3 linked regions of the Callithrix jacchus genome follow. The protein of the gene in region 1 interacts with the protein of each later gene in a pairwise test. Links are inferred from orthologs where the notes say so. Each region holds a gene or a part of one and is shown in the gene's direction. Other genes may lie near its edges. The genes, in order: GEM, LZTS2 and AHCYL1.

Region 1 (3,647 bases):
CTCTCCTAGAGCCTGGTATTCATTTCGTTCCCTTCTTCTTACCTGGTTAGCACTTGACAAGGATAAAAGATGAGCTGGGCAACTTAGAGGAAGAGAAACCTAGAGCTGTGTTACTCCCAGGCTTGCACCTGGTTAGGGGGGATGCCATGTGTGCTGGAAGGGTCCTGGTGCACACAGCCAGAGGCCGTATCTAAACGCCTGTACTGGGGTGGGGAGTAAAGGGAGAGTACACATGCTGAGCAGGGAGGAGATGGATTGCTTTAACCTCCCAGGCCCTCCAACACAATGATTTTCAGGCAGAGGTAAGGTCAGACAGAGTGACTCTGTCAGGAAACTTCTAGAATGGCAAAGCATCTTGTTTCTATTTTTATGGCTGTGATCCTTAGTCCACTTTTTCTCTAGACTTGTTCTGATGTTTCTTAAGCCAGGAGAAAGTTGGGGTTTCTTTTTCCATCAGTGACTGGAACACAGTATGTTTCTATTTGAATGACTGGGCACTCAAGCAAGTACCCTGTACCTGAGTGGTGGGCTGAGGGCAGAGAAGGTTCCTCCATCATTGAAGGAGTTGTCTGAGTGCAGGGAGGGATTTTAGAGAAAAGCTAAGAACCCTGTGGTGGGAAGCGGGCAGTCAGCCCATCCCTGCTCTGTGCTGCCCAAGCGCTGATGGTCTCCATTGCATTGTCAAATTTGCATGTTGAGGTTGTGAGGCTCTACCCCGCCCCTGCCCCATAATCCGAATAGTCCCACTGTGATCTCATTCCTTCTGCGTATTGTGAGCAGGCACACACGATGGGCATGACAGTTTTAATCCCCCAGTGGCAAACACTGATGAGAAGAATGACACTGTGGGAGGAGGAGGAAACTCACAGAAAGACAGGGCCATCCCTGGTTAACTCTTCTTATTTGTCCAAGTTTTCCTTCTGTAAGGAACCTTTCCTGGTTCCAGTTCTTAGATGATGAAGCATGGATCCAGGAGCAGTGTTTTTCATAAACCCTTTGCTACTATAAAACAAGAAATGTCCTGGTTCCAATGTAGCTCTCTTAAGCTAGGATTTATCTGTAGTAAGGAAGTGCTGAGTATGGCAAGAACCAGCTTCCTTCACGTGAAGAAGGGATAATGACTAACATTGATTGAGTTTCTGCTTTGTGCCCAGGCTTAATATATGTAACTGTCACATAGCCCTAAGGTGTGAGTACTATTGTCAGTCTCATTGCACAGATGAAGAAAACTGAGGTTCAGAGAGCTTAAGTGGCCCAGACCCACAGAGTTCATAAGAGACAACACTTGGATTCGAATTCGGGTTTGCTCATGCTCACAGCCACAATGCTGTATTTATCATCCGCTCACTGTACACACTTTTATTGCACACCAGCAATGTACCAATGTGTGGAGGGACACAGTAAACAGCACAGATGCAAAGGTCTGCCCTAACATTATAAGGAGGGGCAGGAGGGACAGAAAATAATAAAATAAATAAGTTAAATGTGTTGTATGCTAGGTGGCAATAAGTGTGATGGGAAAGAATATTGTGGGAGAGAAGTGTTGCCATTTTAAATGGACGGCCAGGAAGCCCCTCCCCCAGAGGGAGGTAAGGGAATAGGCCTTGTGGATATTTGAGGGAGAAGATTCTAGACGAAAAGAACAAGTAGAAAAATGATAAATCATTATGAAAGTCATAATTTTCAAAAGATGAAATTCAAAACAGGAAACCTCATTGTGAAAATAGAGTGAGGATGGGCTCAATTGTATGGGGATGGTGGAAATCCCACTTGCAAAAATCCCACTGGACCCTTTCTACGCCTGCCTCACCATGGATTTTTCCAGGCTGGAATTGCTTTGGCCCATCGTACTGTTACTGTGCTCACCCTTCACCTACACATGATCTGGGCTCGAGTGCAGGGAGGAAAGTTTCCATTACCAAGTAGAGCTGGAGGCTGAATTTCTGTTATACTTAAGAGGGAAAAACAAGCCCATTTATTCCGAGGGAACAGGATTTTTTTTTTAAAGGAAGAAAACTACAGCCAAAACAGGGAGAGACTTAAGATTCTTTCCTGCCCTTGTCCAAAGAGGAGCAGTGTCTCTGAGCTCAAAGCTCCTGAAATTGCCAGTGAGTGTTAAGTAACTACCCACTGAAAGGTACAATGGACTTATGAAAACGGGCTTACAGTTTCACTGGGCAGTTAATGCTTTCTCATAGCATTAATCATTGAATCTGAGACAAAAGTCTTTAAGTTTATCCTCATAAATGATTTTCCCATGTGAAAGGTCCAGGAATGATGAAAACAAATGGCTTTTACTCCATGTGGTTTAGTGATGCATGTTTGAGAGATATGCTCTGCTGGAGGAATGTAGTAGAATGTTGTTGAAAGTGACAAAAATAGTAATTTGCCTTTGAAAATGTCTTTATATTTGCATAATTAATTGCATATTTAGAGAGTTTATGTTCTAGCGTAAGTTTCTACATGACCCTTTTATGGAAAAGTGTTGCATATTCACCTGACTTCAATATATATTTGTTCTTTTTTTTTCTAGAAGATACATATGAACGAACCCTGATGGTTGATGGGGAAAGTGCAACAATTATACTCCTGGATATGTGGGAAAATAAGGTATGCAGAGCCTGTAGCTCTCTAAATTCCTTCGGGGGTTTTCCTTCCAACAAGCTGTTTGGTGTGAGGGGGACCTTGTCCTGTATAGTGGGTATTGTAGATGAGGTGGGCTCATTTTCTTGATTAAAAGCATGCTTCTGAAGAATGAGACCATTCTGAGGAACAGGTCGTTCACAGATGAGTTCTGAATAACAAGCAAGTTGTAGTGACTTGCCTTTAGTTCTATTAAAAAACACACCAAAAACGTGTATTTGTTTTAGGGAAAACACAAACAGGCATGGACTGTTGCTTTAAATAACATAAATCCATCTCATCTGAAGTTGAGATTCTCAATACTAATTTGCAACATTGGCTTTTTAAAGATTTCGAAATGCCTCAGAACCTATGTGGTAGACTTCTGTTTATTGAAAATCCCTCCTAGTCCCCACAAAAGTGTTCTTAATCTCATCACTTGGAAAGGCAAAAGGGAGTTTTTGAGAAGTCAGCAAAGGCTCATTTATGGTAGATTAAGTAGAAATTGGAAATGCTGTTTGGCAGAGTAGTTGTGTAATTTATCAACTCAAGCTGCAGAAGACATTGAAAAGTAAAAACTTTTTGGCATAAATACTGGACAGGCTAGCCATCTTTCCAGCCACCAAACATCTTGTAGGCATGGAAGACCAATGCTTTTGGAGAGCTGGAAGCAATTTCTTCCTTTCTTCTATCAGCAAGGGTACTTTAGGATACATGTATTGTTTCTTTGGTAACTGACGCTTCATTCCCCACGTCAAATTGAACTCACAGAAGATCTTATTGTTTCATTAGGGGGAGAATGAATGGCTTCACGACCACTGCATGCAGGTCGGGGACGCATACCTGATTGTCTACTCAATCACGGACCGAGCGAGCTTCGAGAAGGCATCTGAGCTGCGAATCCAGCTCCGCAGGGCCCGGCAGACAGAGGACATTCCCATCATTTTGGTTGGCAACAAAAGTGACTTAGTCCGGTGCCGGGAAGTGTCTGTATCAGGTAAGAGGAGTAGAGCCAGTACCGTAGA
Region 2 (3,675 bases), on another chromosome or scaffold:
TGGTCCTCCAGCAGCTTATTCTCTGCAGTGGATGGATTTCAGAAGCCACAACTCACCGAGGTCTCCTGCAGCTCATATGGCCCAAGTACCTGTAGACCTACCCACATGCTGCCTTGAGTGACATGGTGGGAGGGAGCCCTTGGGGCCTCCTTGCAATACAGGCCAACTTCCTGTTTGTGCCTGTGGGTGGGACTTTATGAGTCTAAAAGAAGCCCAGCCATGCCCCCTGGGAGGTCAAAACCGGCAGGCCTGCTCACCTGGGCAGACACCTACTCCAGGGAGGGGGCTGTGCTGGTTCTGCTTGGGCGGCCCCAAGTGAGGTGTGTGCATGGTGGGGGTAGGTGGGAGCTGCTCTGGTGAAACTCAAGTCTTCTTTGTGTGCTTCCCAGGGGTTTTCCTTGTACTTGGGTATTGGGCCCAGAGTGGACTGGTTGGGCTCCCAACCGAGCAGGGGGGAGAGTGGCGGAGTCAGGCTCTATAGGCAGCTTAGTTAAGGCAGCCAGGTAGCAGAATTCTCGGTCACGTGATGATCGCCCCTTTTCCCCAGGTGGAAAACCAAGTCCGGTAAGCTGTGAAGTCAGAGGCCAGAGAGGCATCCTCCGCCACTGTCTAGCCACTGTTGGGCTGGGCACTGGGTCGGCTGTTGGTGGGGTGCGGGGCAGACCACTCCCCTCCCCGGGTGGGGGGCGCGGCCTGAGCCGCCCTGCCCCGCCCCGCTCTGCTCCACCAGGTCCTGCCAGGCGGGCGCCGGGAGCCGGGAGCCGGGAGCCCGGAGCCCGGAGCCCAGAGTTCGGAGCGAGCTAGGGAGCCGGCGTTGTCGCAGCGAGGAGGCGAGCGCGTTGGAGCAGGAGCGGCGCCGGAGCTGTAGCCGAGGCGCAGCTGGCGCTGGGTGAGTGGTGGGCGGCGGAGGTGCAGGAACTCCCGCCTCCTGCACATCCCCGCTCCAGAGCGAACTTTCCGCTTCTGGAGAAGCTGGGGGTGGGGATGAGGAGTGGGGTCGGGCGCAGGCGAAGAGTCAGAACAGGGAAGCGACACGGAAACGCATGCCAACGGGTCCCCACACACGCGTGCACAGACCCACGCCCGCACTTGGGACATGCGAATACACAAGCACTCGGAAAGGACGCGCCCAGTTGGCTACCCTTGCACTCCCAGGGACAGCGCCAGCCGGCGCGCGCGTACCCCCAGCGGCCAGGACACTCTGCGGTCGCGTATTGGGTGGGGGAAAGGGGCAGCCCCGTGCCCGCAATGGAGGCGGGCCGGGTGGGACGCACCCAGAGGTTCCTGCTTCCTGGCCGCCCGCAGGTGAAGACCAAGACGTAAACAGGCGTGGCGCACGTGATCGCTCCGCAGATCAGTGGCCAGTGCTCCCAACCCCACCACGGGGCGGGGACCCCAACCCCAGTCCCGGGCGCGTTTGCCTGGTCCCAGGCCGGACGGCGTTCCATTCTCCGCCTGGAGCCGGGATAAACCCTCTCCCAGGCACCGGAGCACAGCGCCCCCTGGAGCCGGGGCGGAGCAGGAGGGCCGGGCTGCTGGGCAGGGCCGGGGTAACTCGGGCTCCTGGACGTCCTTCTTCCCAGCACATTCTTGGTGTCTACATCCCGGAAAGTTTCGGAGACAGGCCCTTGATGACAGTGGACAGCTGCCCCCGCCTATTAACCCCAGCCCAGAGAGCAGCTGTCTGAGCGCCTGAGGGTCCCCTTCCTACCCTCACTTCCACTCTTTGTGGGATTCCGAGTCTCCTCCCCCGAGAAAATTCATGAGTGTAAACGCCCCCTCAATACTGGAGTGGGCCTACCCCCCTAGCAAAAGGAGGGCGAGCTCCTCCCCCCAGGGAATGAGGGAGTGGGCAGTAGCTTGATTCCTTTTCCCCGCCCCACCCCCCCACCCCTACACACACACGCTGAGCCCAGCTGCTGCCTGAGATGGGCAGGCTGCCAGAAAGAGGAGGAGGCTCTCTGTGCCCCAGGAGGCAGGGATCAGGGCAAGGCCAGAGGAGGGGGCTTTGCTGGGGAGAGGGGCTCAGTCTGTTCTTGTGAGGCTGAGGGTCTGGGGTGAGTCTGAGGGTGGCTGGGCTGTGTTTCCCTTTCCAGGGAAAAAGAAAGAAAAACAACCCTATCCATAGAGCTAAAAATAGAGCTGAGAGCGGGCCAGGGCTGTGGCCTGGAAGGGGGGGATGCTCCTTCCTGGGGCCCGGACGAGCTCTGGCAGGCCTTGGCCCTGGGGGGGAGGGAGTCCTTAGGGGAGAAAGGCTGTCTTTGCCCAGGGATGCAGGCATCAGCTGACCTGACCGGGTCACCGAGACCCTTAAGGGAAAGGCTGTGCTATAGGATATTTGTGAAGCACGGCGTGTGTGTAAGAAGTTGTCCGTGTGAGTGAATGTCAATAGAGGCTGTCAATGTGTGAAAGATGGCCAGGAGACTAAGTGCATTTGAGACTGTGACTGGGTGCGAAGGACTGCGAATTGTGGAAGCCTCTCCACAACAGGCCTGTGACACCGTGTCTGTGTGTGACATGGACTGGAAGATTATGGAAAGAAGGAACGCGGTCCCACGTGACAGCTGAGACTGCTTGTGGCTGCGTGGTGAGGCTGCCTATGGGAAAGGTCGTGTGGGTGTTAGGGACTGTGTTGTGCGCGAGAAGGTGAAAATGTCTGCGATCCTGAGAAAGTGGAATGTTGTTTGCCGTGAGGCTGGTGTAGGTTTGGGCTGTAGGCTGGAACCGGCTCGCCCAGTGATATTGGGGAGCCAGGACTGCCCCTCTCTGAGAAATGGCCTCTCTTTTTAAAAAGTGATCCCAAGGGGAGGCCGGCCTGGGTTCGCGGGGGAAAGGACACCGTGCCGGGGAGTGGGACAGGGCCAGTGTGGTGGGGGGAGGCTGAGTGTGTTCTTCGAGTCGGCCGCCAGGTGGCGCCGCCTCCGCGAAGCCCAGGTTGCCGCCTGCAACCCGCCGCGGGTGGGGCAGGCGCGGACCGAGCTTTGGCCACCGTCTCACGCTAGGGCGCGGGGCCCCCGGACCGGAGAGTGGGGGGCGGCCGGCCCTCGGCCTCCTGCTTGGGACCCTGAGGCTGAGAGCGTGTCAGGGAATTTTCGCCTGGAGAAGCCGAGGGGGAGGGGCGGCCGCCGCCGCCTCGCCGGGGCTCTTTGTGCTGTAACAATGACCAGCTGCCGCCGGCCCCCGGGCCCGGGCTGGGGCGGAGGGTGACCGCCGCCGCCGAGCCGAGCCAAGTCCCCGGACACGCAGTCACAGGGCGTCGGAAGGAGGGCTCCCGACTGCCGCCGAGCAGCCCCTACGTGCGCCCCGGCGGACTCGCGTGACGCGGGTGCCGGAGCGTGTCCGCGGCCCGGGGCGGGGACGGCCCTCGGACCCTCCCTTGCGCAGCGCCGCCCACTCGCACTGGGCGGGGGCTGGCCTGGGCCGGGGGGCGCCGCGGAGGCGGAGGCGGGGCCGGCCCGGGCCGCTCGGAGTGGCGGCGCGCGGGCCGGGATCGGGGCCGGAGCCGGGCGGCGCGCCTGTGGAGCGCTGGGGGCGGCCTGGGGCTGAGCATGGAGCAGCGCGGCGGAGGTGAGGGGGGGCCGGGGCTGGGAGGCGGCCTGGGGCGCCCCCAACTTCTGCGCGGTGGAGTCCAGCGGGGAGAGGGCATTGCCCAGCCGCCCCCACTTTCTTGAAGCG
Region 3 (3,747 bases), on another chromosome or scaffold:
GTTTTCTGAACACACTTGAGATGTGCTGAGAGAAGCGCCCTGCCAAGAAAGGCAGCTTTGAGGTTTTTTTTTGGTTAAGCAAGTATTTCAAGTTGTGAATTCTTTCAGTTATTCCACCCCTTGTCTGCTTTCTTAAAAAAGCTTCAAATGAAAGTAGTGGGAAGTTATAACCTGAGAGGCATATTGAAAAGGAGTCTGCTCTCCTGCCACTTTGCTCTTCCTAGATGAATATGTTGCCAGCTTGCACCTGCCATCATTTGATGCCCACCTTACAGAGCTGACAGATGACCAAGCAAAGTATCTGGGACTCAACAAAAACGGGCCATTCAAACCTAATTATTACAGGTAACCTGAGGAGAAGCAAGTGAAAAGCTCTTTTTCCCAGTATTAAACCAAGCAGGCTAGCCTCTTTCTGACATAAAGATCAAATGTTGTACCTGATTTTGAAGAGTACAAGAAATCTGTTCCAGGCCAGGTATGATGGCTCACGCCTATAATCCCAGCACTTTCAGAGGCCTAGGCGCATGGATCACTTGAGGTCAGGAGTTCAAGACCAGCCTGGCCAATGTCGCAAAACCCTATCTCTTAGCTGAGTGTAGGGGCATGCGCCTGTAGTCATAGCTACTCAGGAGGCTGTGGCACGAGAATTGCTTGAACCTGGGAGGCAGAGTGAGCCAGGATCACACCACTGCACTCCAGCCTGGGTGATAGAGTGAGGCTCTGTCTCAAAAAAAAAACCCAACTGTTCTAGTTAACAAGGTAGACAGAGATTGTGATGAATGTAAGGGAGTTAGGGGATTTTTTGAAATTTTGGAACCTGGGCTTCACCCCAAGAGATTCTGATGGGACCAAATTTACAAAACGTTATTTTGTAACACCTCCCCAGATTATTATAATGTTTAGTCAGAGTTGAAAAACACTGACTCTTGGGAGCAGGTGGTAATACCAGAAGTGGCATTGTCAGAGACGCTGTATAAGAACAAGGAATAATGGTGTCCTGGGAAATGACTGCAGGGATCCCACACCGGCTGGGGAGGGGCGTTGGAGAAGGTGCTCGGTTTCCAATTGTCGTCTTGGAGCTCTCATATGGAAAACGTAAGTGTTAACCAATCACTCTCTCTCTTTACAGATATTAATGGACCATATTACCAAGGACCAGTCCACGTGAACCACACACTCTAAAAGAAATATTTTTTAAGATAACTTTTATTTTCTTCTTACTCCTTTCCTCTTGATCGTTTTTCCTGTAATTTCATTCTTGTTTTTTCATCTCCTTATCTAAGTTCTGCAGACCCCAAAGGAACTTGCTTCATAGCTCTTTAGATGAAATGGAAGTTCAGGGTTCCTCATCCCAGTCACTAAAGAAGGATTTTACTCTCCCAGCCCAGAAAGGTGATTCTTTCTTTACCATTTCTGGGGACTTTAGTCTTAATTAGGTACCTTATTAACAGGAAATGCTAAGGTACCTTCTCTGTGGAACAATCTGCAATGTCTAAATCGCCTTAAAAGAGCCCATTTCTTAGCTGCTGAAATCAGGGCTCTTTCACTTCTTCAGAGAAGTAGGGATGGTATCTACCAGGCAGGTAGGTTAGATGTAGGTGGTGCATGTTAATTTCCCTTAGAAGTTCCAAGCCCTGTTTCCTGTGTAAAGGTGGTATGTCTGGTTCAGAGATGTGTATAATGAGCATTGCTTGTTAAGACCAGGAAGCCCACTTGGATGTATAGTACACCTTTCCTCTACTCCCACCAGACTTTCTCATTTTTCTAGTTTTTAACTAGACTGTACTCTATTGAGTTGAATTGAATTTTGTCCTCTAGGATTTATTTCTATTGTCCAAAAAGAAAAATTAAGGAAAATTTTTAGTGTTAATGCTGAGGAACTGCTTGAGTGGTTAGTCGTTACCAATTTCTCTAAATTTTAAACCCTTGGAGCTAAGGATGCTGAGTCTAGAGAAATGCTAGTCTCAAACCCTGTTATGGCCCTGTGTTTCTAACCCATAGTTTATAGCATCAGTGAACTGGAGCCATAACAGCAAATTCTGTCAGCTCTGTCCCATACAGCTGTGCTGAAGGCGAATTTCTTGAGCCATTACTCAGTATAAAGCACTGACTTCTATCTTTAGCATTTATCTTTAAGAGCAAATTTCTGGTCAGCTGTGCTTCTGCAACCTGAAATATTTAAGGGGGGGTAGGTGTGGGCAGGAGGAGGAATGATAAATTGGGCCAGGGTGAGAAAAATCTAGCTTCATATAATTTGTCTGGGACTATACAGCCTATATAATGGTGGTTTTACAGAAGTAATAATGACTTTTGATTGCTACATACCACAAAAAGTTTATGAACTGAGATCTCAAAGGGCAATTGATGTGTGGAGAAAGTCATCAGTCCATCCTGGCTTATGCTCTGAAAGAATCTCCAGAGAGGCTCTCTCAAAGATCAGGGAGATGTATTTCCATGCCATGCACCCTGCTGCCCAGCATCTCTGCATGGTCAAATGAGCTGTATGCTCGTGAGCTTTAAGTATACAATTATCCAGGATTTTAAATCCTCAACCTGTTCTAGCTTGTGATCCTTCAAAGTTGGGTCATACATTAGTGCTAGATACTAGAAATTTTCACTTTTCCATTGATCAGAGAGTCAGACATATAAAAACGAAAATAAAAGAAAGGAAAGCTTTCACCCTGCACCTTCTTAGCAGGGGACAATTGTCTTGCCAAAACTTCTTTCCCTTTTCTCTCCCATTTTCCCCCACCCAGTCCCTTCTCATTCCTTGCCAGTGTATAACCATGCTTTCTTCTCTGTAGATGTTAACAGTTGAGGCCCTTTTTCCTCGGGCACTTAACCAGCCAGTCAGAACACCACATCTGTTAGGGGAGGCAACCTGGCCAACAACCTATCCATCACGTTGGCCCTGCTGGAGGGAAGGCACCCACATTAACCTGCCCTCTGGCCTGTCCCCTGATCCCATGTCTATTACTGTGTCCATAGGAATAATAGGTAAGGGCTCTGTCTCTGTCAAGCCATGTAACAAAGGACACTGTAAAAAAAAAAAAAAAAACAGTCTGGCATCAGAGGGAGCATGTGGAGAGCAACTTGGGAGGAACGAGTTCATTTTGTATTGAATGATTTTTAATGAATGCAATATTAATCCTTGCAGATTAGCAATAATCATTAAAATCAATTAAAATGATAAGACCTTATTGGCAGTCTGTGTATCATTCTTTGTTGAACACCAAAACTTCACTAGAACCTGTTTTCTAAGGTATGACAAGTTATAGGTCAGCAGCATTTAATAGAGATTTGTTGAGGACCTAATTTGTAGAGGCTGGATACAGTATTCTTCAGTAATACCTGAAGTTTTGTTTTCCTGCTCTGTGCCAAGCACCCAGCCTGGGTACTTTCACTCCTAACCTCTTTCAGAAAGCAGATTTGCTGCTTAAGCCTCAGGGCTCCTCATTTGCATAGTTCCTTCTAAAATCTCATTTCTAAAGAATGCCCCCAAAGTTATGTAAGCTTCAGCCTCCCCCGGCACCTGTATCCGTTTCTGAAGTGATCTCAGTGTCTTCTTTTTTTTTGAGACAGGGTCTCACTGTCACCCAGGTTGGAGTGCAGTGGCTTGATCTTAGCTCACTGCAACTTCTGCCTCCCAGGCTTAAGCAGTCCTCCCACCTCAACCTCGTGAGTAGCTGAGACCACAGTCTCAGCTAATTTTTTTGTATTTTTGGTAGAGATGGGGTTTCACCATGT

Evidence for each region.
Region 2: the proteins of GEM (region 1) and LZTS2 interact in binary tests that used the Homo sapiens proteins (3 or more experiments, as listed by UniProt). The two-hybrid records come from large-scale screens. The link is inferred for Callithrix jacchus from reciprocal best matches to the Homo sapiens genes GEM and LZTS2.
Region 3: the proteins of GEM (region 1) and AHCYL1 interact in binary tests that used the Homo sapiens proteins (3 or more experiments, as listed by UniProt). The two-hybrid records come from large-scale screens. The link is inferred for Callithrix jacchus from reciprocal best matches to the Homo sapiens genes GEM and AHCYL1.

The regions. Positions count from the first base shown.
Region 1 is NC_133517.1:32,947,004-32,950,650, forward strand, and holds part of GEM (GTP-binding protein GEM), read left to right. Parts: intron 1-2,533; coding exon 2,534-2,610; intron 2,611-3,414; coding exon 3,415-3,619; intron 3,620-3,647. UniProt on the Homo sapiens protein: Could be a regulatory protein, possibly participating in receptor-mediated signal transduction at the plasma membrane. Has guanine nucleotide-binding activity but undetectable intrinsic GTPase activity.
Region 2 is NC_133513.1:93,953,164-93,956,838, forward strand, and holds the start of LZTS2 (leucine zipper putative tumor suppressor 2), read left to right. Parts: upstream 1-728; 5' UTR 729-889; intron 890-1,925; exon of another isoform or gene 1,926-2,057; intron 2,058-2,225; exon of another isoform or gene 2,226-2,587; intron 2,588-3,440; exon of another isoform or gene 3,441-3,567; intron 3,568-3,675. UniProt on the Homo sapiens protein: Negative regulator of katanin-mediated microtubule severing and release from the centrosome. Required for central spindle formation and the completion of cytokinesis.
Region 3 is NC_133508.1:147,871,034-147,874,780, forward strand, and holds the end of AHCYL1 (S-adenosylhomocysteine hydrolase-like protein 1), read left to right. Parts: intron 1-224; coding exon 225-345; intron 346-1,129; coding exon 1,130-1,136; 3' UTR 1,137-3,200; downstream 3,201-3,747. UniProt on the Homo sapiens protein: Multifaceted cellular regulator which coordinates several essential cellular functions including regulation of epithelial HCO3(-) and fluid secretion, mRNA processing and DNA replication.